Tamandua tetradactyla: one gene and its partners. The protein of the gene in region 2 purifies or fractionates together with the protein of the main gene of each other region. This does not show direct contact. Links are inferred from orthologs where the notes say so. Each region holds a gene or a part of one and is shown on either strand. Other genes may lie near its edges. The genes, in order: ENO1, ISG15, HSPB1 and HERC5.

The links.
Region 1: the proteins of ISG15 (region 2) and ENO1 purify together in Homo sapiens (affinity purification with mass spectrometry; 4 studies listed by BioGRID, with this or other methods). This does not show direct contact. The link is inferred for Tamandua tetradactyla from reciprocal best matches to the Homo sapiens genes ISG15 and ENO1.
Region 3: the proteins of ISG15 (region 2) and HSPB1 purify together in Homo sapiens (affinity purification with mass spectrometry; 3 studies listed by BioGRID, with this or other methods). This does not show direct contact. The link is inferred for Tamandua tetradactyla from reciprocal best matches to the Homo sapiens genes ISG15 and HSPB1.
Region 4: the proteins of ISG15 (region 2) and HERC5 purify together in Homo sapiens (affinity purification with western blotting; 3 studies listed by BioGRID, with this or other methods). This does not show direct contact. The link is inferred for Tamandua tetradactyla from reciprocal best matches to the Homo sapiens genes ISG15 and HERC5.

The regions. Positions count from the first base shown.
Region 1 is NC_135328.1:216,491,733-216,499,181, reverse strand, and holds the start of ENO1 (alpha-enolase), read right to left. Parts: upstream 3,003-7,449; 5' UTR 2,869-3,002; intron 2,539-2,868; exon of another isoform or gene 2,434-2,538; 5' UTR 2,380-2,433; intron 1-2,379. UniProt on the Homo sapiens protein: Glycolytic enzyme the catalyzes the conversion of 2-phosphoglycerate to phosphoenolpyruvate. In addition to glycolysis, involved in various processes such as growth control, hypoxia tolerance and allergic responses.
Region 2 is NC_135328.1:223,814,947-223,820,869, reverse strand, and holds ISG15 (ubiquitin-like protein ISG15), read left to right. Parts: upstream 1-4,484; 5' UTR 4,485-4,723; coding exon 4,724-4,726; intron 4,727-4,820; coding exon 4,821-5,315; 3' UTR 5,316-5,402; downstream 5,403-5,923.
Region 3 is NC_135349.1:10,412,014-10,418,283, forward strand, and holds HSPB1 (heat shock protein beta-1), read right to left. Parts: upstream 2,188-6,270; 5' UTR 2,006-2,187; coding exon 1,630-2,005; intron 996-1,629; coding exon 932-995; intron 821-931; coding exon 646-820; 3' UTR 516-645; downstream 1-515. UniProt on the Homo sapiens protein: Small heat shock protein which functions as a molecular chaperone probably maintaining denatured proteins in a folding-competent state. Plays a role in stress resistance and actin organization.
Region 4 is NC_135350.1:38,226,235-38,233,805, forward strand, and holds the start of HERC5 (E3 ISG15--protein ligase HERC5), read right to left. Parts: upstream 3,016-7,571; 5' UTR 2,953-3,015; coding exon 2,253-2,952; intron 1-2,252.

The DNA of each region.
Region 1 (7,449 bases), about 7.3 Mb from region 2:
ATTCATTATGTTTGAAGTAGCAGCAGGCTGTTCAGTTGGGAGCAGTTAGATATTCAGTTAGAAATTCTGAGCTTGGAGCTCAGAAGTGACAGGCTTGGGGGCTCTTGAATGCCGCAGCATTCGGCCTGTAGTGGGACACACGGCCCTTTCTTCCGAAGGCCATTTTGCCCATTTAAAAAACCTAATTACTGTGCAACAGGACTAGATACAAAAACTCAAAAATGGACAGCACAATAATACCTAATTGTAATGTAATTATTTTAAAACACTGAATGAAGCTGCATCTGAGCTATAGTTTTTTTGTTTGTTTGTATGTTTGTGTCTTTTAAAATTATTATTATTATTTTTTCTCTATATTAACATTCTATATCTTTTTCTGTTGTTTTGCTAGTTCTTTTCCTAAATTGATGCAAATGTACTAAGAAATGATGATCATCCATCTATGTGATGATGTTAAGAATTACTGATTGCATATGTAGAATGGAATGATTTCTAAATGTTGTGTTAATTTCTTTTTTCTTTAATTAATAAAAAAATAATAATAAAAAAAACCTAATTATAAACTATTGGGATTTGTAAATAGAAAATTCTATCTTCTGCTACAACATTCTGAGAGAAATAACACCTAAAAGAAAAAAAAAAACAGAGATTTGCAGCAAGTGCCCAAAGAAAGCCGTTTTCTCACTTTTTTCCCCAGGGGGTCTCCAAAGAAAAAAGTAATTCAGCAAGTTATGACATTTAAGTGAATGAGAGGAAATAAATTAGCATTCAGAAACCATTATTTCCCTCGGCTACCCTCCAACATCTTCTCTGGAATGTTCTGAAGCAGCACATGGCATCCTATCTTTATTTTTTAATTTTGAGTTTCAAAATTAGACACTGAACTCACTTCTGTGGCTTTCCTTTCTATGTAATAATGGAGTTTATTCATTAGTCAATTAAAAGGCATCTAGCTTTTATCCACTGGCTTCCAAAAAGGCCCATTTGTTAAAACATATTGTTTTAAACCAACTTTCAGAAATAATTCACATACCATAAAGTGCACCCACTTCAAGTGTGTAGTTTGATGAGTTTTGACAAACTATACAGCTTTAATGGTTTGCAGTCCATTCCCAGGCAACTACTAATTTCCTTTGCTACTGTAGATTTTAATCATACTTTTAAATACATCCTTAACACAGTGGCACAGCACACAGATCTAAGGTCTAATTTTTCGTTTCATTTAGTGACATAAAACATAATCAACTCAAGTGTGTCTTTAAATTTGATAGCTAACTGTAGAATGCTCGCCTGCTGTGCCCAAGCACCCCACAAAAAAAATTGGTAGATAGCTATTTTTTAAAAGTAATGAAACTTTAGGGAGCACAGACTGGGAGAGGGTTGATCTGATTACACCGCCTCCCAGGATCGCTCTTCACGGGGCTTGGTTTGAACTTAACGGGGAGGAGGGGTCCCGAGGGGCCTGAGGCAAGGCAACCAGGCGACCACATGGCCGGGGAGAAGCCAACAGGAAGCGTTTTCAAAATACTTCCTTTTTATGTCAGCCAGTACCGGAGTGGGGGTGGCCGGCAGAGAGGTGGGAAGCAGATCCTGCCTGACTTAGGCAGAGTCTCCTGGCCGGTTCCTCAATGACTCAACGGCTCTTCGGCCCTTTGATTAAAAATAAATAAATAAATAAAAAATAAAGAAGCCCCTTCTTGGTGTTACTGACTGGGGCTACAGATGGCAGCTCTGCAGGATTTTTCTGCAAACCTATAACTTCTTAAAAAATTAAAAAAAAAAAATAATAATTATGCACCATGATCAAGTGGGATTTATCCTAGGTAGGCAGGGATTCTTAAAAATGGGGGCTTCTTTCGACAGAAGAAAATCAATTACTGTAAAAAAAAAAAGTACCCTCTTAAGCTACACGAGCTGTCTGATTTCGGAGCAGCGATGGGCTGGACAGCACGCCGCTGACCTACAGGCCGGGAGCCACCAGCGGGGGACAGAGGCTGCTGGTGGGGGAGGGGGCCGCAGCTAGCGGGTCATCTGTTTCCCAGACCCCTCCCCCGTTTTAGGCAGGGCCTGGCTTTAATTATTTAATTAAAAATCCTGGCGAAGCCTGCATTTCTCCCCTCTAACTAACCCCTTTACTTGGCTCCTGACAGAGAGGCTCCCTTTCCTCCCCAGCCCGCTGGACTAGACGGTCGCCTGTTCTCCCCCGACCCTCCAAGCAACTCATCTTCACGCGTCGGCCCGCACCTCTCGCCTGCCCGGGAACCGTCCAGCCCTCCGGTCCACGCCCGCGCCCACGGGCACGCCGCGGAGGGGACCTGGCGAAGAAACCCACGCTCCACCTGCCGAGCGCTCGCCCGCGGCCTTCCCCGGGGTCCTTACCTGGCCGCCGGGTCTCGTGAACGAGGGACGATGCCGAGGGAGAAGCCGAGAGGGCTGCAAACACCGCAGCAGGGTCAGCAGGCGAGATCTGCACGCGCCGACTGCCCGGGGTCCTCTCCCCGCCGCCGCCCCGACTTCCTGCCAGCCCGGAGCTCCGCCCACTTCCCGCCTTCCCGGGCCTGCCCCCTACGCGCCGCCTCGCCATTGGCCAAGTGCTCCGTCAATCGTGCCCTCTGCCCCCTCCTCGGGGAGAGGGGCGGGACTATGGCCTGCGCTGAGGCTGAGAAAGGGGGGAAGGGGGTCGGGAGGCCTGGGGACTTGGGCCTAGGCTGGGGACTCGGGAGACTCAAACCCCAAGAAGGGCCCCCGACCTCCGCGGCCCTCCCTTTCCGCCTCCCGCCGGGGCCCCTAAGGGGGGCGGGGGTCTGTGGCGCCGGGGCGGGGCGGGGCGGGGCGGCGGGCATGAGGGCTGAGGGCTCCGGCACGTACTCCGAGTCCCGCACGCACTCGGCGTAGCCGCGCCGCCGCACGCCCTTGCTGATGACCTTCGCGGCGCCCCCTTGCCCGGCCCGGCCCGGAGCGCGGTGCCCGAGAGCCCCCGGCGGCGTGGAGACGTTGAGCGGCCGCGACCCTGGGGTGGGGAGGGGGCCTGCGAGGAGGGGGTGGGGGAGCCGCAGCGCCGCGTGCCCGCGTCCACGTGCGCTCGTCCGCGCCTGCGCGCTGCGCTCCGGCCGGGCCCCACGCGCGCGCCGCCGCCAAGGTGACCTGGGTTTCCTTCACCTCGCGGCGTCGGGCGGGCGTGGAGGATCCCACGCACGGAGCCGAAGGACAGATTCACTTTTCATTGTAGCTCACGCTTCCGGCGTGCCGCACGCCCGCGTGCACCCCGCGCGGATTTCATTCTTCTCTCGTGTTGTTTCATTGAGGACAGAAGACTTCACACACACACCTTTACTCTTTGTAGGCCCTGATGAGATCTGCCTAGGTTCTCCTGAACTACAGCAAAGACTGACTTTAGGGATGGAATTTCACATACCCCCTGAGGGGACTGCTCGAAGCAGGTAGTAATTCCCGTTGGTCTAGCAAAAGAAAACCAAGAAGAGGTGGGCGGAATGGTTTTGATTTTCTGATCAAGAAAAAAACGGATAGTCCATTTAAAATCAACTCGCGCACACACAGACACACACGCGCCTCCCCAAAGAAGGCCTGAGATGATCGCTTTATTTTCCGATACATTTATTTTTGTATTTACTTAACGGCCCTCCCTCCTGATTTCTAAGTCTGAGATCTAAAACAGCATGGTCTTTATATTTAACACACTGCCGTGCATAAAGATATTAAATAAATAATTTACTTTATTTCTTATGATTAGCTTTTTTTTGCCCCCAAGCTGCTGGCTTAGGTTTCCAAAGCACAGGGTTAAGAAGGCCTCCTGAGTCCACGTATTTGTTTTCCAACAACTAAGCAAGAACTTTATGATTGAATTCAGGAAAAAAAAAGAAAAGAAACAGGGAAATCGTAAACTATTTCAGTAAAGATTGATATGGATTTTGCAAGCAGAGGTTATGATTTCACCAACTGTACACTGCCATTTCTGGCTGCTTAAAACCAATATCCCAGCCCCATGACTCAGCAGCTAAATCAACAGCGAACGTCTCTCAAGCCTTGTAAGAACGCCAAGGAAATCAGACCCTTAAAGCTTTTATTTTCAGAGCAATTTTAAGGTGTGGTCCTGAAAGGATGCCAAACAATCCCTTTAATTTTACATTAGAATTGTTAAAGAGATAACGATAGACATGGCTCTTAAAATAGTTCTCTGGCCAGAACCAGTGCATCTAGCAGGAAATCAAATGTAGTGCATCATGACATGAGACAGCTGCTGTTGCAAGATTCTTGGAAGCCACCCCCGTGCTCTGAGCTAGCACTTCGACCTCAAATTGTAGCTGAAACATTAATGATTAGTGGAGATGCCCTCAAATCTCTAAAAATCCACAGGCTGCCAAAATGTCCTGTCCATCTTCATGGTTCCTGATGCTCTGTTAATAGGCCATGGGGCTAATCTTTGCCTGCAGGGCAGCACAGGGGCATGGACCTGATGGGGAGGAAGTGTCCAAGGTATTATGAGCAGACCACCTGGCGAAGCCTTGCAGGTGGTGCTTGAAGGCCATCTAAAGGACACGAGGTTTAAGGGAAAGTGAATCTCCAGCAATTGACAACACACCTGGATTACTGATTTCATCTGTGTTTTGTGCAACACTGGTCTACTGAAAAAGTGATACAGCTGTTCTGAAGGTGGGTGTCCAGGCAGATGGGAAACTTTACGGTATGATGAGGGGCCTGCAGGAGGTCCTCAGCTAATGGCGGCAGATGAACCCTCATAACAGATAGAGGGTTTTTGTGTTTGTTTGCTTATCCTTAAATATTAAAAACGTATCAAAGACTGTATACGATTTATATGATAAAATACCTGAACATTTATGTACCCGCTACCTGTTTAAGAAATGGAACATCTGCAATTTCATTCAAGTCCCTTGGGTATCTGTTCCTCCTTGGCCTTAGTTTTATTTAGGGTTTAAAATAATTTTTGAACTTGATAGAAACTTGATAGAATTTTACTGTTGGAAGCCTTTTTCTACTGTTTTTTTTGTTGTTGTTGTTGTTCACCTTGATGTTGGTGAGATCCATCAGTGTAGCTGTGGACGGCTCATTTTCAGTGCTATATGGCATTCCTCTGCGTAAAGGTCACATATGCTCCTGTCAATGTACCTTTAGGTTGGTTGCAGTTATTATCCTTGCTAATATAAACAATGCTGCTATGAACTTTGTTATAGCTGAGCAAATGTGCAAGAGTTTCTAGGAAGCACACCTGGATGTGAAATTGCTGGGTGGTAGGATGTACACATCTCAGCTTTCTTATCTAAAGTGTTTATACCTCTGTATGTATGCGTTCTGATTCAGTTTGGTAAAATAAAATCAAATTCGGTTCTTCTCTTTTTCTTTTTTTTTTTTTTTTAAGGAATTAAATCTCCTTGCATTCTTAATCTGACACCCTTTCAAGTCCTTCACTTAAAAAAGAAGCCCATGTTTTCTCTCTGTAGACTGCTGTCAATACTCAACCGTAGGTGGTTTTGAAGTACATATTAGGGCTTTCTGCCATCCTCAGCCTCCTCCCGTGCCTTCTTCAAGGCTGACTTCACCAGTCAACTGTGGGAATCAGGGACTGGCCAAACCTACCCTAGAAACCCAGTGTACATTTAGGGAGACAGATGGGGAGCACAGTGCCCCAGGGAGGAGATGAAAGTAAGGAAGCCTGGCAACAGAGGTGCAGAGGGATGGGGAACACAAGAAGCAGGCATCCAGCGAGCAGAGGCTCATATGTGCATTAGCCATTACATCCCTTCACCGAGTTCATGACCGGATTCCACTCTGATCATCTCCACTTTTCAAAGCTCAGAGAGGTTGCCTGGCTTGCTAAGTCTGCAGTTGGAGGGTGGAGGTGCTGGGGGACCAGCCGAGGCAGACTTAGCCCCAACCGTTCAGCCTCCTGTTCCTCTAAGATGAAAGATGTGGGTAAGAGGCTGCAAAACTGAATGGAGTCCAAGGAGCCTTCCCTTAATTTGAACAGCTTCCCCTTGAATACAACCCAAAATAGAATTCATCTGCAGCAGCTTCAGGATTTGAGAAACATCATCATATGGCCTTCATATCTGTATTCTTTCAAGAACAAACTTGTAGCTGGAAGGATAAAGCTACTTGCACAGATCAGAGAGTTAGATACATTGTATTGTGTTCCTATGACAAAATGTCCCCAGTCCCACACTCAAGATGACATTTTCTGCCTTTCCTAAACAAAGGGGGAGAAACCCTAATTTTCCCCAACCCCTGACAGTTTCCTTGATGTGAGGTTCTTAGACCTCCTGCATTGGAATTCTCTAATCTCTTTTTTTTTCCCTTCTTCTGTTTTCTCCATCTGGTCAGGAAAATGCAAGGGGAGAATAGATTTCAGCCCAGCATGTGGCTGGAAGGAAAATGCAGACTGACCTGAAGAGCCATTGGGTAGATTCACAGCGGGTCAGAAGGGGCTCGGTGAGGGGCCATTGCCTTGTCCTGGGGAGCCGGGCGACTGCCTGCCCAGTGTTTCAGCTCAGCAAGGGCAGGCGGGGCAGCTCCACTAGTGAATGGCTGGTTCAGAATTTGGACTAATCAGGTCAGGCAGGGGCCTGCAGATCAACTGCCCCCTTTTGAGGGCCTTCTGAGCGCTGGCCAGGCCCAGAGCCCCTTCGGAAGGACTTCTTAGCCTAAGCGGGCTTTTGCCCTCTGAATGCAGCTGGCAGGGCCAAGGATCAACATCAAAGGTGGCTAAGGAGGGGCCTGGACTCCAGACCTCTGCCCGGCAGGGGCACGTCACAGTGGACTGTTGGCATCCAGCGTTCCTGTGTCATATGGGAAGGCACGTGGTGATGTCTGCTGCTCCTTCTCCCCTGGTTCTCGTTTCAATGGCTTTCCCTCTCAGCTCCTGTGGGTCCTTGCTTGTTTCAACTAGGGCATTTTCTCTCTAACCCCCTGTCTCTTGATGTTTCTGTGTTTTATCCTCTCATAAGGACCCCAGCAAGGGGATTAAGACCCACCTTGAATGGGCTGGGCCACGTCTCCACGGAAACAACCTAATCAAAAGGTCCCACCCAACCACAGTTCTACCCCCACAAAAATGATTAAAAGGACAGTCTTTTCTGGGCTGCATAAAGATTCAAAACGGCACAATACTTGATCCTCATTATTTGTAGATTCTGTATTTGCAAATTCACTGCTCATTAAAATTTATTTGTCACCCAAATCAATATTCACTGCACTTTCAGGCTCATTCACAGACATGAGCAGATGGTGAAAAATTTGAGTCTCCCATCACGTACCTTTCCAGCTGGGGCTGAGCAAGGCAACGTTCTGCCTTCTTGTTCCAGGAATCCTTTATTTGCAGTATTTTTAGTGCCACATTTTCCACATTTTGTGTGCTTTATGTTTTGGTGGTTCTGTTGTTTAAAATGGCCCTCCAGTGTAGCGCTGATGTGCTGT
Region 2 (5,923 bases):
CCCTAGAAGCCTCTTCTCCTCTCTGAGACCAACCCTTCTCCGACAGGCTCTAGTCCCATGCGTCCTTCGGGAAGCCCTCCCTGATCCCGGCCTTAAACTGGCCCTAACTCAGGCCTCTGCAGCTGTGGCTAGCCCGGGGCCAGGCGGGGGAAGGTTCTGGAGCTGAGCGACAGCGGCAGATAGAAGAGACCGTGTCCTGGCTTCCTGTCAGGAGGGGTGCTCAGCCTGTCCCTTCGGCGAAGACACAGCACCGGGAGAGATGTTTCCTGTGCTGCGGACTCGGGGGCTGGAATTCAGCCTGGAGATGCGGCAGCAAGAGCCTGTGCCTCGTTTGTGTGATGGTTTCACAGAGGGGCACATGTCTAAACCCAACATCCCGTGTTCCGTAGGGGCAGTTTGTCGGATGTCAGTTGTGCCTCGTTCACGTTGTGAAGAGTCAGACTCAAGGCTCTCCCAGTCCTGAGCGTCCTGTCTGGTCAGCCTCACGGCCCTAGATTCAGGGGTGCTCAGTCAGACAACTGGATTTATGATTTTAAGAAGAAAGATAGGAGCATGCTGTTGAATTTGTTAACAAGTTAGGATATTCTAGAACTTAAGATTTATATGTTTAATTTCATTAAACTGACACGGCGCACTCAGCAGGGACAGATGCTTCTTCCTGTGCAGCCTCCACGAGCAGCTCCTGCTGGTGTACGGCCGCTGGGAGGGTGAGAAGCCGAGTGTACCTTGTCAGTTCTGTGGGGAGAGGAGAGTGTGTGTGCACGTGTGTGTGCATGCGTGCAGGTGTGCACGTGCGTGTGCATGTGTGTGCGTGTGTGTGTGTGTGCCTGCCCTTCTTTTTCCACTTTTAAACGGGATGGTCAGGAAAGTCCTCATCAAGTCGGCTTGGAGGGGGGAAGCAGTGTGGGGGGGTGTGAGTGTTCTGGGGGGGAAGCAAGTGCAGGGACCTGTGGAGGACAGGGGCGGAGTGGCACCTAGGGAAGGGTCCTGGTGCCACTGGGTGGAGGGCAGACTCGGGGGCAGTGGCAGGGGAGGGGTCTGCGGTCACCGCAGGGAGAGGTGAGGGCCGGGTCTTCAGGGGACGGCGCTCGGGCAAGGGTCCCTGTGGTGCTGCTGGGCAGGTGAGGGACTCGAGAGCAAAACCAAGCCAGCCAGGCATTGCTGGGGCCGAGCGTCCTCTCCCAGGAGCTGCAGGTGGGACCGTGTCTCCTCGGGTGCCTGCTTGGCCTGGAGCGGCCTGGGGCCTGGAATCCACACAGCGGGGGCAGTTTGGGGCAGACCTGGGCCCTGCCAGGCCTATTCCTGACCCTCAGAAGCTCCTTTGGCCACCATGGGTAGGGGTGATTTGCTGTGTAGCAAGCGATAAGCTGTGCAGGCCTAGAATCTCTTTTCTAAGCCCAGCGAGCACAGAAATTCTGTATCCTGTGCCTGGCAGTTCTGGGAGCTGCAGTTATCAAGGTGGGCGCCCTGGGCCAGGAGGACCTGCCTCTCACCTCTGCCTCGAGAGCACCTGCAGCTGCGCCCCCCCCCCACAAGCTTCCTTCTTTCTGCCCTCCCTCCTCCTCGCTCCCTCCCCCTCCTCTTCCCCCTACTTCCCCCTCCTCCTCTCCCTCCTCCTTCTCCCCCTTCTCCCTCCCTCCTCCTCCTCCTCCCCTCCTCCTCCCCCTCCTCCCCCTCCTCCCCTCCTCTCTCCCTCCTCCTCCTCCTCCTCTTCCCTCCTCCCCACCCTCCTCCCTCTATCTCATCTCTTGGCCTGTTCTGCTCAGTACCAAGGCCTTGTCTTCAAGTTCCCTGGGCCAGGATGGGGGTATAACTCCAGGACCCTGGTTCCTGGGTGGCACTGGCCTCAGGATACACCTCCCTCGGAAGGCGCTGGTGCTGCTGTGTTGCCCGGCTGTGGCCGCTTTGCTGGGCAGGGACCGGGTCATTTTGGGGTTCTTCCTGAGCCACCTGCCTGGAGCCCGGCAGCTCTTCCAGCCCTTGGGTGGGTGTTGGTTTCTGTGGCTGTGTCAGTTTTTAGTGAGAGGGGGGTACTCTCCAAAAAGGAGAAGTCCCGCAGATAGAGCACAGGAGCCTAAGAAAAAGTCTAAAATTTTGAATTTGTAACTTAAATATATTCAACATAAACTTTAAAATATCTAAGTAGGCAATTCTAACTTTTTTGTGTTGGAAGGGTCTGTCGCTAATATGGGGTAGGGAGATGCATCTATTTGATGTTCTGGAGAGGTTGGGCTCTCTAGGTCTCAGGACTTATCTGGACTAGGGACCCATCTGGAGGTTGTAGGTTTCTGTAAAGTTACTCTAGTGCATGGAACCCTTGTGGAATCTTGTATATTTATTGCCCGAGGAGTTCTTTAGAATTGGCTGGAACGGTCCTGGTTGGGGGTTGGCAGGTTATGACAGGTAGCAAGGTCTAACTGAAGTTTGCGTAATAGCAACCTCCAGAGTAGCCTCTTGACTCTGTCTGAACTCTCTCTGCTCTGTTTCTTGTAAGCCTGCGGTTTTCTTCTCACAATAGCAATACAGTTTACGCATGGGAAGAGTCAAGATATAAATTTAAAATAATAGAAAGAACGAAATTAAACATCCCCTCAACAATTTTGAGGTCCATGTGCCTTTTTATGATGGGGAGAGGGTCCAGGGTTCATAGGCAGAACAATTATGCTTTTTCCACCTTTTTTGTTTCCAACTTATTTTAGGCTAACTTGTACCTCTTCTGTGCTGTTTCTAATGGTAAAAAATAGAGCCATCCACATATCCAATAGTGGGGAATTGGTTAACTGAATTACAGTCTATTCTATAATTGATTCATTATTCTGTGCGGAGCATATGCAGCCATTCAAAAAACCTAAAATGTATCTGTCAGCCTCTCAGATATTTAGGATACACCTTCCCATGAGCCAAACAGGGCCCAACACAGGGAGGCCGATAGTATGCGTTTGTATTTTTTTTTTAATTGAGGGGAAATTTATGTATCACAAAACTAATCGTTTTAAGGTGAGAGGTCAGAGCATTTAGCACATTCACAAAGCTGTGCACCGCCACCTCTGTCCGGGCCCGAGCCCCTCCTCTGTGGGGCAGGGGCGCTCCTTTCCCAGCCCCACAGTCGGGAGCCCCCGTCCCACTCTGGTGGTTTGAGGCTGTGCGCCCAGAAAACCTCACCATCCTCAGGCCAGTTGTCCCCCATGACGGTGGGCCTGTGGGGTGTCACTTCCAAGGGGCTGCCCCAGGTGGGGCGACACCCTGCAGCCTGCAGGGGTTCCAGGAGGCGGACAGCAGGACGCGGGACCAGAGAAGAAGCTGGAAGCAGGCGCCGGGCTGTGCCACAGAGGGCGCCAGCCCACTCTAGACGTTCCCACGGCCTCCGCCTCTTGTGACAGCCAACCCGTCTCTGGTCGGCCGTCCCTTGGCCGCCTCAGCCAGCCAAGGCAGTGCCTATCGGTTTGGCTGTTCCGTACTCTCGTCTAAATTGTCAATATCACGGGGCCTTCGGCTCTGGGCCCCTTGCACTGGGCATGGTGCTTTGAGGTTCTTCCACTTAGCAGCAGTCGCAGCACCTCATTCCCTTCGTGGCTGCGTAATATTCCATTGTCGGATGTTGTGGGGTGAGACGCAAGCCCCAGAAGACATGCTCCAGTGCCCCTCTGCCCAGCGTGGAAATAGCACTGGGGGTCCCGACCCCTAGTGCTGGCACGCTTTGCCGAAGGAAAAGGTGGAATGAAGGAAAAGGTCCCCGTGGTCGAAGTCCAGCTCCCCAAGACTGCAGCCAGCAGCCTTCTTTGGAGACCTTGATGGGCTCGTGCCCTGCTGGGCGCACCCCCAGGGCACCAGGAGGGCAGGGGCCACTTGCTCCGAGCCTCTGCAGGCCACCGGGCCCTGGGAAGGCCGCAGAAGCCGAGGAGCTGCCGGGCGCCCCACAGCCACTGCCCACTGCTGCCCCAGCTCCGCACCTCCATTCTCCGGTGGCGTGGGGCACCCCACACGCACCCCTGGTGTGGGGTGCCACTCGCTGTGGTCTGAAAGTGCATTTTGCTAGTGGCTAACGATGTCGGTCAAACCTCCATCTTCTTTGAGAGATGTCTGTCAATGCCCGTTTGCGTTGGGTTGCTTGTCTTTTTGTGGTTGACTTGTAAGGCTTCCAGACCCTGATCAGATACAGGATTCGCAAATATTTTCTCCCATCCTGTGGGTTTGGTTCACTTATTTGATAATGCCCATAAGTTCATTTTTGTGCAAAATGAAAAATAAAGCTCTTCATAAAAAGAGAATCTGAATATATACTGTCCTAAATCCACGGCGAGGACCTGTGTGCACTTTGGATTGTGCTTTCCCTTTTTGTGCCTGAATAAGCTGGCAACGCCTCCCGCGTTCACTCACTTGCGGGGAGTACAATGCGAGCCGGCGTTGGCAGGCACTGGTTCCCGGCCTGGGATCTCGCTAAGGCCGGGAAGCGCCCGCACCGGAGCTTTCTGCGGGGACGGGGCGGGGGCTGCCTGGTGTCTGTTTTGGTTTTGCGTCCGCGGGGGCACGGCTTGGGAAACGGAAACCGAAACCGAAGCGGCCGGGGCGGCCGGTGCCTCCGCGCCGACTCCACCCCGCGTGTGACGTGAGCGCCCCGGGCCATAAAAGGGCTGCGCCGGGCTGGGGCCGCTACGAGACTCGAGGAGCTGAGCGGCCGGCGGGAAGCAGTGTCCGGGACCTCGGTCTGGAGGAAGCAGCAGCCATGGTGAGGCGGGGGCCGGGGTGGGGGGGTGGGGGGCTCGAGCCCTAAACCCCTTGGGGGAGGCCGCAGTGTCTGAGCGCTCACGCTGTCCCCGCAGGGCAGGGACCTGACAGTGAAGATGCTGGACGGCAAGGAGTTCGCGATGCCCCTGAACGACTCCACGATGGCGTCGGAGCTGCGGCAGCAGATCGCCCAGAGGTGGGGCGTGCCGGCTTTCCAGCAGCGGCTGGCGGTGCACCCCAACGGCGGGGCGCTGCAGGATGGGGTGCCCCTGGTCAGGCAGGGCCTGGGCCCCGGCAGCACGGTCCTGCTGGTAGTGCAGAGCGCTGACGAGCCCCTGAACATCCTGGTGAGGGACAGCAGAGGTCGCAACAGCTCCTACGAGGTCCGGCTGGGGCAGACCGTGGGTGAGCTGAAGCAGCAGGTGTGCCGGCGCCAGAACGTCCAGGCCGACCTCTTCTGGCTGAGCTTCGAGGGGCGGCCGATGGAGGACCCACAGCCACTGGGGGAGTACGGCCTCGAGTCCCAGAGCACCGTGTTCATGAACCTGCGTCTGCGGGGGGGTGGGGCGCGGCCCGAGGTGCTGCACTGAGGCTCCCTGCCCAGTTGTAATCCCACCCCGACCTGAAGCCTGGACAGTCAGGCGACAGTAATAAATGCTGACCCACACCGAGAAGCAGGGGCCTCGCATGTCTTCTCACCTTGTCCTAGCATCCCTGTGTCTGCCCCTGGCACCCCATTCTCGTGTCTGTCTGGCCCAGGGTGGCTCATGTTGGTAACCAAGGGGCAGGACCTCCCAGTCACAGGGTCAGAGCCTGGTGGCAGCAGATCGGTGGCCTTCTCCCCTCCGCGGACACTACAGACAGCTGCCCCCGCGCGCTGGGGACGCCCTCCTCTGAGGGAGAGAAGGGTTGCCGTCGGCCGTGTGAGCTCTGCAGGCCCTGCCCAGCCTCTGCACACCTGGGGCCTCAGAGCCCCCCAAGAAGATGGTGGACATGGGCCCTGGCCTGATCGGGTGGGTTGTGAGGGAGCTAGGGCTCAGGGGTCAACAAGAGAGCCCCCACCTCCTTCAGGGCTGAGCAGACCCACTTACTGGAGAGGCCATGGCCTTCCCAGACGGGGTGGCTCCCTTGGGCACATTGACAGCCCCTTCCTCACAGGATGCTTCTTGTCCCCTGATTCTGTGCCAGTTTCCCAAAT
Region 3 (6,270 bases), on a different chromosome or scaffold from region 2:
TCACTCTCTGCAGGGCACCCTGGGGCGCTGAGAACCCAGGCCCCGTTCTGTACAGGTGGGTCCTGGGGGAGAGGGGACTAGGCTATGCCCCTCAGCAAGGGACCTGGAGTTGCCAGCCTGCACCCCACCTCCACCCAGCCTTCTGGGTGGTCCTGCTTCTCTGCAAGGACAGTGAAGTCAGAAAGGACTGTGCGCTCCCAGAAAGCTGGTCTCCCCAGGCCCTGCTGTCCCCGTTCACCTGTCCCCAGGCTAGGTGTACCAGAGTGGGCAAGGCCGAGTCAGGTGCCCCTAGTTCTGCACTTGGCCCTTGAGTTAATCACTTGGTTACAATCATTTGCTTCTCTTAATCACTCTCTGTGCATGAGCAAGTGGCACTTGCCCCAAGGGCTCCACAACGCCGAGTCTGAGGCAGTGGTGGGCAGTTCTCCCAACTTTCTTTTACTTTTTTTTAAAAAAAAGCCAGTCAAATTCAGCAGTGAGGAGCTGTATACCAACTTTAGTGACACTAATGTTAATAAATTCTGATAATCCCAACTTTTATTTTAAACAGAAAGAAAACGTATCAAAAGAGCATCCAGTGGGCGGGCAGGGACAGCTGGGAAGGACTCTGGGTGGGCAGGGCCAAGACCTCTACTTGGCTCCAGGCTACTCCGACTTCCCGGCCTCTGGGCCGCCGAGCTGGGCATGCGCCTCGAAGGTGACAGGAATGGTGATCTCGGCAGACTGGATGGCCGGCTTGGGCACGGGGGCCTCCACGGTGAGCGTACCCTCAGGGGACAGGGAGGAGGAGACCTGGGTAGGGTCCACACCTGGGGGCAGCCTGGGCACGCACAGGAAGAAGGCAAGAGTTACACATCCACCCACACTGCACGCCCTCTCAGGTCCCCCTCCCTGGGGACCTCTTCCCTTCCCGTCTGGCCCCCAAACTTACGTGTACTTTCTGGTGAAGCACCGCGAAATGTAGCCATGCTCATCCTGCCTCTCTTCGTGCTTGCCTGTGGGGAGGTGGTGGTCAGAGGCTGCTGGGGGTGGGGGGGGGGGGCTGTCTCTCGCACCCCCCATCGTCCCCAGGGCAGGCTGTCATCTGCTCTCTAGAGGGCCCCCGAGGCCAGAGCTGATTGACTGAAGGGGTTGGACAGCCCAATTCACCCGGGCCTTAGAAACTTCTGGAACATTCGTTTCATGCCTTTTGAAGCGGTGGGGCCACGCCCCCTGCACTGGCCGGGTTAGGGACAGGAACAGAGCGGCTCACACCCAATGGGTGGGCGCAGGAAGATCTGATTACTTGCGGGGTGAGATGGAGCGTCTCCCCAGGAAAAGGGCGTTTCTACCCCTAACAGAGCTGAAAAAGCCCTTAGGGCTCCCCGTCCCAGAACCCTACAGGAGGTTCCAGGCCTGGGGGCTGGGCCAACGCCCAAGGCGGCCGCGGCAGGCTGGGACCAACTCCCAGGGCTCCTGCCTCCCGGCCCTCGGCCACTTCGGAACTCCCCAGGCCCCTCCAGTCACTTTCCCGGCACCCACCCCCACCCCCACCCCGGCCCAGTTCTCCTTTCCGGGGTCGACCGGCCAGAGGCCCCGCGCTCGGCCCCCTAACTTGGCCGCCCTCCGGGGGCAGTGGGGGGTGCTCACCGGTGATCTCCACCACGCCGTCCTTGGTCTTGACCGTCAGCTCCTCGGGGGCGAAGTGGTTGACGTCCAGGGACACCCGCCAGCGGTCGGCCGTGTGCCGGATCTCCGAGACGCCGCTGCTGAGCTGCCGGCTGAGCGCGCGGCTGTAGGCGGGCGCGGCCACCGCCGCCGCGGGGCCCTCGACCGCCGGCCCCGGCAGCGGCCGCACGTAGCCCGGCCAGCCGCTGTGGCCGAACCACTGCGACCACTCCTCGGGCAGCCGGGGCAGCCCGAAGGCCTGGTCGAAGAGGCGGCTGTGGGGCGGGTACCAGTCGCGGAACGGGTCCCAGCTGGGGCTGCTGCGCAGGAGCGAGAAGGGCACGCGGCGCTCGGTCATGCTGGCTCGGCGCGTCGGGCTGCGGCTGCGAGAAGTGCGGGGCCGCGGGGTGAGCCGGGCTTTTATGGCTCTCGGGCCGGGTATTTTTAGCAGGCGGTGTCTCGGGTCTCTATTAAAGGCAAGGACTGGCTGGGGGCGGCCCCGCCCCCTGCATTCCTACCGTCCGGGGGCTGCGGGGGCGGGACGAGGAAGGTCCTGCCCACATCTGGAAACTTCTCTCGGTAAAGAAAACAAATGACCTGAGCGCCCAGGCTGGCGCACTGCCCGCCTCCGGACAACCGATCGCAGGCCCGGGAGGTAAAGCCCTGGACGGAGCTAGCTGAGCGCGGTCAGGCCCCTTGTCTCGGACCACACAGCCAGCGAGTGGCAGAACCAGCATTAGAGCCACGGGCTGTGTGTGAAATGTCTTAAGAAGCACTCGGGATAGCCTTTAGGAGTCTGCCTGCGTTCCCACTGTGGTTTTACCATTCACTGATTCGACCTGTGCACGTCAGACTCGTTGTGCCTCAGTTTCCCCATCTGGAAAATAGAAATTAATGATAACAATAATGCTGACGTCATTGGACTGGTGTGAGGAAAGATTTTAGCTCGGGGCAGGAGGTAATAATTACTCATTATTATTGTTTACCGGGAATGGAAGAAAAGGAGGAGGCTGGAGGAGAGTGTGTGGGAAACTCTCTTTCCTCCACGCCCCAGCCCTGTTGCAGAGGAAGTGGCCTGTGCAGGTTTGGCCATTCTCCCGCTGCCCCCAGCCCCCAGATCTGGCCCAGATCAGAAACACTGGGTCTGATGACAGGAGGGGAGAGAGGGGGAAGGTCACTGCCAAATCTTCCCCTTGTGTCTCTCTCTCCTTGAAGAGCACTGGACCGGCAACCTGAAGGGCGGCAGTCCTGAATCTAGTCGGACCTTTGCTGCTGATATACTGTGTCGTTTTGGGCAAGGCCTCTCCTTTCTCTGGCCTCAGTTTCCCCTTTTGCATATTATACGCTCCAAGTGCCTCTTGCTTCTGATTCCCACAGTGCAAAGGGATGGGGAACCCGAGGCAGTGTGGTTGCTCAAACTTGCTGGGCATCCGAGGCCCAGCCCATAACCCCATCCCTTCTAGCTGATCCTTTGGCATCCCGACACCCCCAAATCCTACTTCTGGAGGGGGCTGCTCATAGGCTCCTGCCATACCCTTGACATCCTCCTTCTCCTGCCTACATAGGCGTGACCCCATTCCAGCCTTCCGTCTCCCTGACTTAAGTCCAGTTATCCCCACTTTTTAAATGAGGAAACCAAGGGCTCTTTCTTATCTCTGTAGGACTCCTGCTTGGGGTCCCCCAATTCCTCTCTTTCCCACACCCCCTCTGTTAGCTGCCCCTGTCCTGGGGCTGAGACTCTCCTCCTGCCAGCTCTGCAGGGGACTACTAAGCCCTTGGCCTGCACAGGCCCAGACTCAGGGGACAGCCTGGGGTGGGAGCCAGACTCCCAGCCATTCTCCTTGATGGGCTGGGGGGGCATTAAGTCTCATGCCCTCTCTGAGTCTCAGTTTCCCTTTTGAGAGAGGACGCATAGGTGCTTCTCCTTCTTATCCATCTGCTCCCCAGCAGAGAGGAGCTGGGGTTGAGTCACAAAACTGAGGTCACCTCTGGAAAGGCCTTTGATCTCCTAGTGGTCTGGGGGGTCAAGGGTGGGAGGCAGGCAGGACCCCGTTCTCTGTCCCATCTCCCTTTTTGGATCATGTCATGACTCCAGTGGGTCTCAGTAGGGAGCCACAGGCCACCCCCAAGGGTCTCAGCTTCAGGAAGTCCCAGGCCTTGGCTCTTTGGCACTCCCAGCCCCACTCATCCCCAGCTCTATAAAATCGGGCTGAGATCAGTAGCCAAGGAGGGCCCTCACCCGCCCCTGCCTGCCCAGCTTCGCTCAGACTGGAGTCCAGGGCACCCCACCCTATATAATCATGGGTGCTTTCAAGTGTGGCCCTGCCAGGCCCAGCCACGCTCTGGGTGGGGGCTGCCTACCTGGCTGCCAGCGTTTTGTAGACACAAGCCCTTTTCATAGCTCCCTTCATCTTGCTGAAACCAGGGCAGATGTGCTGCCAGTCATAAGGGAGGGGACATGGATGGCTTTGAGCCACGTGGGAGTGGGTGAGTGGGGTGTGGGGTGTAAGAAACTGGGTTTTGGGGTCAGACAGGACTGGCTTGGTGACCTCTGCAAGCTCACATGTCCCCATCTGCAAAATGTACCCATTTTGCAGGGCATCGGTGGGTCTCGAATGCATGATGTCCACTGTCCCCAAGTGATGTCCACTGTCCCCAAGAAATACCAGCAGTGCTGAGCTTCTTGTCTCCCTCGTACCCAGGGCTCTTTCTTATCTCTGTGGGACTCCTGGCTTGGGGTCCCCCAGTTCCTCTTTTTCCCACACTCCCTCTGTTAGCTGCCCCTGTCCTGGGGCTGAGACTCTCCTCCTGCCAGCTCTGCATTTTCCAGTGTTACTTAGGAAAGAGGGTCTCTAACGTTGGATAGTAACAGAATAAGTTGCATGTGCTTTACAGCTTCTGAGTGTCTTAGCAGTCCCAGATGAGAAAACCGAAGGTCAGAATTGTTCCCATACCCTGCCTCACAAAGTTGGTAATGGGTGGGGAGAGACTGGAACTCAGGCCTCTTGATTCCCTGTCCAGCAGGGGAGAAACTTCCCAGGCAGCCCAGGGAGAGCTGTGGGCTTCCAGGGTGCAGAGGAGGTGGGCACCCCCTGTTCCCTGTTTGGCCAGGTTCTCTGTGGTCCTTTCCAGCTCAGGCCAGGAGCTCTGACCACGAGACTTCTCCAGGAGGCTGTACTCTGTGCCCAGGCATAGGGCTTAGCAGGCAGCAGGGACTGGATGTCATTCTGCCCTCGTCCACCTACCCAGTAACTCTTTGACAACCTGTGACTCCAGCGTCCTCGGACACTGAGCTGCCAGGGGGAGTTTTCCTGTGAGAAAGAGGACAACTCTATTCCCCAAGGGTTTCCCAGAAGCCACAGGGACAGGTCATAGTTGTCCCCTCATCCCATTACCCCCTGTAGGGTCTGGGGATTCCTGCATTGGAGGTGGCCCCTCCTCTCTTCCCTTCTCCTAAAGTCTGGAACACTCCAAAGCAGCCCCCTCCCCCATGCCCGGCCTCCCCAGCCCCCACCCCCCCACACTGAGGCCTTGGGCATGCTAGCCACACCCTTGGCAGGCTTTTGCTATTGTGGTTGAGCCAGCCCCTCCCTCTCTGGCCCAGCCTCAGAGAAGGTACTAGAATTTTCAGGCAGCTGTCTGATCTCCCTGGAGAGGCCTGACAGCTGATGGATTACGCCAGTCCACTGGGCCTGCTGGGAACTGACAATGCAAGCAGTAGTAATTATAGCATGGTGTGTGTGTTTGTATGGGTCTTTCGAGAAGCGTCTAGACAGTGTGCCTCTGGGAGTCTATTTCCGAAAGCTCATCTCTGCCTGCCCCACCCCATAGGCCTTGGGCTTCTGCTTGCCTTCCCCCAAGGCTGCTGAAGGGACCACAGGGGGCCGGTGGGGAAGACTGGTGCTGCAGCCTCCCACCCCTCCCGCCTGCCGTCAGGCAGAAAGAATCTCTTTAGCTGGGAGGCTGGGGACCTGGGGTGTCTTGGACTCTGACAGCTTGGCCAAGGGCCGGCCCCCTGTGACTCATTTTCTTCATCTGTACAATGAGACCACTGGACTCCTTCCAGAACCATGAATCAACAGTTTTTCCTCCACTCTCCTCCTTCCCCCCATGCCCCCTGAATGACCTGTTCTGCAGTCTGATGCTGCAGTGGTGGGGGGGGGTATATATAGTGAGTGGAGGCACCCCACCCCCCACTCCTGTTGCGCCTGGGTGTGATTTAGGGCTGCTTTCTCTTTAAATCAGAGTAAGATGAGAAAAAAGGGTGGGGGTAGGAATCCTCCCTAAACCTGTAGGAGACTGGGGGTGGGGGTGGGGAGGGGCTGCGGGAGGTGGGGAGGAGATTCCTGTCTTGGGATGGATTTGGGATAAGGGAGAGAAGCCCCCAGCGCCAGAAGTGGGAGACCCTGAGGCTGGGGCACCCCCGGGCTGTGGGCCCCCCGAGAGCCCTCCTCCGGTGGAGGGGAGGCCTGGAGAAGGATGGGACCCCTTTGCCGAGGGCATCCTCAGCTCCAAGAGGGGCAGCAGGTGGCCAGGCGCATCTCAGAGAGGGAGGGGACAGGGGTCACTGGCCCAGAGCTGGGACACCCTAGCTGGGCACGGGCACTTGTGCCTCATTGCCTT
Region 4 (7,571 bases), on a different chromosome or scaffold from region 2:
AGACTACATAAAAAATGGTTAATTGTGCATAGCAAAAAATAACATCAACAAAAGGCAAACTAAGAAAATTATTCCAATATAGACAGTACATGATGGACAAAGCTATTTATACTCAATATTCAAATAACTATTTCAATAACAACTCAAATTTTAAAAAGCCAGGCAGATATGACAAGGCAGTTTACCAAAAAAGGAATGCAAGCAACCAATGGAGAAGTGAAAAGAGATGCTGAATTTCACTCAAGTTACATGAGACGCAAACAACAGCAAGATAACATTTTTCCACTTGTTGGATGGGTCAAATTTTAAAGACTAAGAGTGTGGGCATTCAATTACTTAATCTTTCTCTGCCTCAACTATAGCAGTTTATGTAGCAGGATTACATAATTGATGAAAAGGACATTGGACACACTCCATCAATGTGCTCTTCCTCTCTTTCTCAACACATACCCCCCCACATACCCCCACACACATTCAACATTGAAGAGCCTTTGATCCCAAGGCCCTTTTAGGGACTAAGAATAAAGTGAAGATCCCATTCTTGAGAAGGGAATAGGAGGACATGCTTTGGGAAAAATAGAATTATTTTAAGCAGTGATTATGACAATTAAAAGAAGACATTTATGAGTTTTTAAATACCGATTTTTAAATATTTTCTTATTCTTTAAGTTGTGAAATAAAGTCATATTTCCTGTTTAGCATACAATTTAGGTTATTATAAGGCATGGCTGTTTTATGTAAAAAGTTCAAGCAGGTTGCTCTTCCTGTTATATATTCCTATTCCTCTCCATTATTCACACAGAAGAATGACCTGATCTTGGACATATGTTTCATTAAAAGACACCAACACTCACTTCACTGCAGTTGTCGTAATACATGCAATGCCTAAAAAGAAATCCATACCACGTATAGGTTGTGAATTCCCAAATTTTGCATTTTCAAACCTATGAAAAAGTGGCAAATATCACACGAAAGCAATAAGATTATTTTTATGTTTCTGTAATGATTTCACCTGGATAATGTTAATCCACCTACACTAACCCAACTACATTGGATTTAGTAATATTGCTTTCATGTGGGCATAACACTACGTTTTTCCCTCTCCAAATCTCCTCTTTGCACAACAACCTTAGTGACTAATATCTTGCTATTAAACTCTTTTTCAGGTACTATATTCTTACCAAAGTAAAAGAATTATGCCTCTCTGGAATATTTTCACTGTATATAAATTAAATCTCTGCTATTTTGCATAAAGTTGGGGCATGGAATTTTAGCATTCAACAGATAAACTGCTCCCTGACCCCTCTAGGCATTTTTGGGACTCCAGAAGCAATCTTACCTTGTTTATCAGTGTGAATTTATCACTATAAAATAGTAATTTAAATGATGGGAAATGGAATCCAATTTCCATAATGTCTCCCCCACGCTCCATGGATTTAGGTGACACTGGGCAAATTACTTAATAGCTTTGTGTCTTCAGCTGAATATGAATAATAGCTTTCCTCTGAAAACAGCACTTATATCATAAGATTATTGTGATTTATATAATTAAGGTAATTTATATAAAGTGGCTGGAACAACACTTTACATACATTAAATATTGAAAAAATATATATATATTTAAAAGTGTGGGCATTTACTTTCCGCAGCCTGTAAAATCGGAATCACAATACCTGACCAAATCTCTACAGAAATAAGGATGTCAGAGAAGCTCAACTCAAAGCATTCTTTAAATTGCTCATAAATATAAAATACTATGATTGAGAATAAGATAACGACGTTCTCCAAAGGCTCACATCTTCAGAGTGGACATGTCCTGAAAAGGAGTGAAAAAAATTTTTTTTTGAAAAGGAACCAATTATTATGGCACACTTGACTAAGAAAGATGAAGATTCTGTCTATATTCCTTTTCTCCCTCGATGCCCTGTCGATGTGGAAAGGACGATTCCACTATTTCTCATCAACATTCTGCAAACTGCGCAAACTAGAGCCAGGGATAAAGGGGACCACAGGAGCCAAAGGGACAAGCGACCCAAACCCGGAGAGTTTGCGTAACAATCGGATACCAGTTGCAGGGCCTGGTCCCCTTCTGAACTTTTACTCCCTCTTAGAAAAGGCCCCACACTCCAACTCGGATCCTTTAAAAAGTGTCCGTGCTGGGCCCTGCCCAGGCAAGGTTGTCCACCGCGCGCCCTCACCAGAAACCCCCACCCTAGGCGGGTAGGCCAAGAGACGATGCCGGTGCCGCTCACCCGATTTACTGGCGCCACCGCATCCCGGTGGCAGCTGGTGAACCTCGACGCCGGCCCCGCCACGCTCCAGCACCGCCAGGCGCCCGCGCGCGCAGCAGATCTGGCGCGTTGCCTCCAGCCTCCGGGGCAAAGCGCTGCGGAGGCCCGCGGGACTGGGGAAAAGCCAGAGCTCCGCGCTGGGGCGCGCCATCGAGGTCCCGGGGTCCGGCTTGGGCGCCCCGTGAGCGCGGTCCCGCGACCTTCTCCGCAGCTTCGGTCCCATCGCGCTCACCGACTCGCCTCCGGTCCCTGGTCCTTCGGGGGAAACTGAGCTACAGCTGGCCACAAAGAAAATGGAACAGGGGGCTATGAGCAACACCTGAGCGCGTCCAGTGCCCCCGGGGCGTCGCGGTGAGCACTGACTGGCGGCGCTGGTCGCTGCTGCTGCCTCGCGATCTGCGCCTCTTCCCAGAAGCGAGGCTCCTAACGCACTGTTTGCGGACGGAGCTGACAGTTCAGTTAGGAAACGAAAGTGATTTTTTTTCGTGAGAAAGCGGAATCGAAATAGAAAAGAAAAAAAGTAAACCGAAAGAGAAACTGGCTTGAGAGGCCACGAAAATAAACAGGTCGCTGGCAGGCTTTGGCAGGACGGAGAAGGTGTCTCCGGGGGCACAATGGGCACTAGAAAGAACTCCCAGACTGAATGACCTTCGAACAACATGGCAATTCCACTAGCAGGCGCCGTGATACATGCGGGTTTACGGAATTCTAGAAAATATTGTGATAAATGGACGCTAAAGTTTGCTCAGCTTTCTGTTCCAGGCTCGTCCACAGGATGGCGGCTTAACTGCATCAGGGAGCTGTATGGTCAGCCCTCCCCGCCGCCCCCTGCCTCCCCACCCTACCTTGGCAGCTAGTGATTTGTTTCTGTCAATGTAGTTTTGCCTTTTCTAGAACTTGATTCAAATGGAATCATGCAGTATGTGGTCTTTTATATTTGACTTTTTTTTTTTACTTACCACAATGCCTTTGAGATTCATCCTGTCGGTTTTAAAATCTGTACTTCTTTCTTGTTATTGCTGAGTGACATTTCATTATAGGGATATACTACAGTGTTTATATCCATTTACCAGTTGATGGACATTTCAGTTCTTTCCAGTTTTTGGCTACAATGAATAGCGATGTCTTTGGACAAATATTTTCATTTCTATTGGGTTATACCTAGAAGTGAAATTGCTAAGACATATAGTAGGTGTATTCATATTCTTATAAGAAAGACCAAACTGTTTTCCAAAGTGGCTGTATCATTTAGCATTCCCTCCAGCAATGTGTGGGAGTTCCTGTTGTTTCATATCCTCAAACCTGTACTTGGTATTGTCAGTCTTTTTAATTTTAGGAATTGTGGTCTGTAGTGACATCTCATTGTGGTTTATATTTGCATTTTTCTAATAACTAACGATGGTCTATGAGTGCCTATTTTCTACCTCTATCTCTTCTTTGATGAAATGTATATTCAAATTTTTTTGCCCATTTTTAAATTTGATTATCTTATCAAAGAATTCTTTATATCATACATTAGAGTTATTTGTATGTTATATACCACACCCTTTTCTTAAATAAATGTTTTGAACTGTGTTCTGCTTGTCTGTGATTTGTCTTTTAGTTTTATTATGTGTCTTGAAGAACTAAAGTTTTAAATTTTTATCAAGTTCAATTGGTCATTTTTTTTCTTTTACATATTTGTATTAGTCTCCTAGGGCTGCCACTTGGTGGCTTAAAACAACAGAAGTTTATTGGTTCCCAATTCTGGAGGCCAAAAGTCCAAAATCAAGGGTTTGGTAGGGCCCCTCCCTCCAAAGCTCTAGGAAAGAGAGCTTCCCTACCTCTAACAGCTTCTGGTGGCTGCTAGCATTCCTTGGCTTGTGGTGATATAACTGCAACTTCTCCTTCTGTTTTCATATCACCTTCCCTGTGCCTCTGTGTCTCAAATATTACTTTCTTTTCTCTTTTAAGGACACCAGTCGTTCTAGTTTGAATCTGTTATGTGCCCCCAGAAAAGGCTATGTTCTTTTAATCCATTCTTGTGGCGATTGTGTAGTGAAACATTTTGCTTAGGTTGTTTTCATGGAGATGTGACCCATCCAATTCAAGGTGGGCTTTTATCCTTTTATTGGAGTTCTCTAAGAAAAGAATAAAGGCAGAAAACACAGGAAGACAGATACAGAGAGCAAAGAAATGAAACCAAGGGAAGGATGTAGAGAGAGAGAAATGCTAAGATCTGCAGGACACAGAGCTCAGAGAGGTGTCCCTGGGGAAGCAAGCAAGGACACAAAACCTAAGAGCAATGGAATCCAGGAGCAAAGGACCAGCAGACACCTTCCCATGGGACAGAGGAAACCCACATGCCATTGGTCTTTCTTCGGCGAAGGTATCCTCTTATTGATACCTTAATTTGAACATATCCAAGGCCTTAAGAATTGTTAACTTGTAGTTTTAAAAATCCCCGTTGTTAAGAGCTAGCCCATTTCTGGTATATTGCATTTTGGCAATGTTAGCCAACTGAAACGCCAGTCATTGGATCAAAGGCCCCCCCTAAATCCAGGACAATCTCATTTCGATATCCTTAACTTAATTACACCTGCAAAGGCCCTGTTTCCAGATAAGGTCACATTCACAGGTACCAGGCTTAGGAGTTGGACATGCTATCTGGGCGACACAATTCAACCAATACAATAATTCAGGCCCATTTTAGGTCCTATTTAAGAAATTTTTATTTAACCCAAGTTTACAAAGATGTTATCATCTAGAAGTTTTGTAGTGTTAGGTGTTGGCTCCATTTCAAATTTATTATTATTTATAATGTAAGGTAATGGTAGAGGTTCGTTTTCTTTCCTTATGTATTTCCAGTGTTCTAGCTTGCCTTTACCCTATCAAATCGCCTTGCCGCCTTTGTCAAAAGAATCATTTGGCCCAGGTGTATGGGTGGTTCAGTGGGAGAAGAATGCTCACCTTCCATGTGGAAGACCTGGGTGTGATTCCTGGACCATGTAAAAGAAAAGAAAAAAAATCATCTGGCCACATATGATTGGATTTATTTCTGGACTTTATTCTGTTCTATTGATCTATATCTATATTTACTTTAGGTACACACTGTATTGATTACTGTAGCTTCAAAGTCTCAATCAGTTCATACAAGAAATCCAACATTGTCCTTTTTCAATGTTGGGTTTTAGCTATTCCAGGTGTTTTTATTTCCATATATATTTTAGGGTCAGGTTATCAATTTCTACAATTGCTAAAATTTTCATTGGGATTGCATTAGAGCTAATGAAAAAGTAGAGAAGAACTGGCATGCTAACAATGCTGAGTCTTCTGATCCATAAACATAATATACCTCCATTATTTAAAGCTTCTTATTTCAGAAAGATTTTAGAGTTTTTAGGGTACAAACATCTTTTGTTAAATTTATCCTTAAGTATTTCTTAATTTTTTTTTGATGATATTCAAAATGGTACTTTTAAAATTTCATTTTATGGTTATTGTTAAGGAATAGAATACAACTGATTTTTATATATTGACCTTATATCCTTTATATTTCTACATTAATTTATTATTTCTAGTTTTTTTTTTGTAGATCTCTTATAATTTTCTGTATAGATAATTGTATTAGTTTGCTAAAGCTGCTGGAATGCAATATACCAGCAATGGAACAACTTTTAAAAGGGGGCTTTATTAAGTTGCAAGTTCACAGTTCTAAGGCCGAAAAAATGTCCAAATTAAGGCACCAACAAGAGGTTACCTTTGCCCAAGAAAAGCTGATGCCACCCAGAACACCTCTGTCAGCTGGGTAGTCGTGTGGCTGGCTTTTGTGGGTCCGCTGCCCCTGGGCTCCATTGCTTTCAGCCTCTGTTCCTGTGGGGGTTCCTCTTTTGGCTTTTCCAGGGCTAGGTTTCATCTCTTGGCTTTTCTTGGCTTTTAAGATTCTGGCTTGCTTAGCATCTCATGGGAAGGCACATGCGGGGCTCTGCTTGTGTCTAGGCATCTGCTCTCTATGTTGAAACTCCAAGCATTGCCAAACATCCATGTCTGTCAGCTCTGGGGCAACTGTTCTCCAAGCATCTGCATCTGCATCTGAGGTTTCTTCAAAATGTCGCCCCTTTTAAAGGACTCTAGCAAACTAAACAGGACCCACCTTGAATGGGTGGAGTCACATCAAAAGGCCATACTCACAATTGGGTGTGTCACATCTCCATGGAAACAATTCAATCAGTTTCCCACCCCAAACAATAGGTCTGACCCTACGAGATTGGATCAGGATTAAAACATTGCCCTTTGGGGTACATAAGAGTTTCAAACTGGCACAATGATAATGCCACATACAAATAAGGTACTTTTTTATATGAATTACGATTTTGTATTGATATATATTCATACACCACGTAATCATCCAAAGTGTATAATCAATGGTTTAGAATATCATCATATAGTTGTGCATTGGTCATCACAAATTGACTTTTTCTGTTTTGTGAAAAATAACATTTATACAAAAAAGCAATAAATTTCAAAGCACAGCACAACAATTAGTTGTAGAACAGATTTCGGAGTTCGGTATGGGTTGTAAATCCACAACTTTAGGTTTTTACTTTGAGCTGCTCTATGATACTGGAAACTAAAAGAAATGTCAGTATAATGATTCAGCAATCACACTCGTGTTAAACCCTACCTTCTCTCTGTAACTCCACCATCTCCTTTGATCTTTCTCCCACTCTTTACAAATAAGGCACTTTTAATCCTTTCTTTCCTAGCTAGTATGCCTTTTCTTTCTTTTCCTTGCTTTATTATGTGGACTAGTACATCTAGTACAATGTAGAAGCCCTGAGAGTGAACATCCTTGTCTTGTGTCCAGTCATAGTGGGAACAAGACTCACTCTTTCACCATTAACTATGAGGTCAGCGCTAGGCTTTCCATGGGGGCTCTTATTCAGGTTGAGGAAGTTCTTTTCTGCTCCTAGTTTACTACGAACACTTTTCATGAATGGGTGTTGAATTTTATCCAATGTTTTGTTCTGCAACTATTGAGGAAATAATACAATTTTTCTTTTTGCCCTCTCTCTTTTTTTATTGTCCACGGTAAAATAGAAGTGGTTGATTTTTTTTTCTTTCTATTAATGTTTTAATTCTTATTCTGTTGTCTTTTTATTTCTTTTTCTAAATCGATGCAAATGTACTAAGAAATGATGAATATGCAACTATGTGATTTTATTAAGAATTACTGATTGTACATGTAGAATGGAATGATTTCTAATTGTTTTGTTAATTCTTTTTTTAATTAATAAAAAA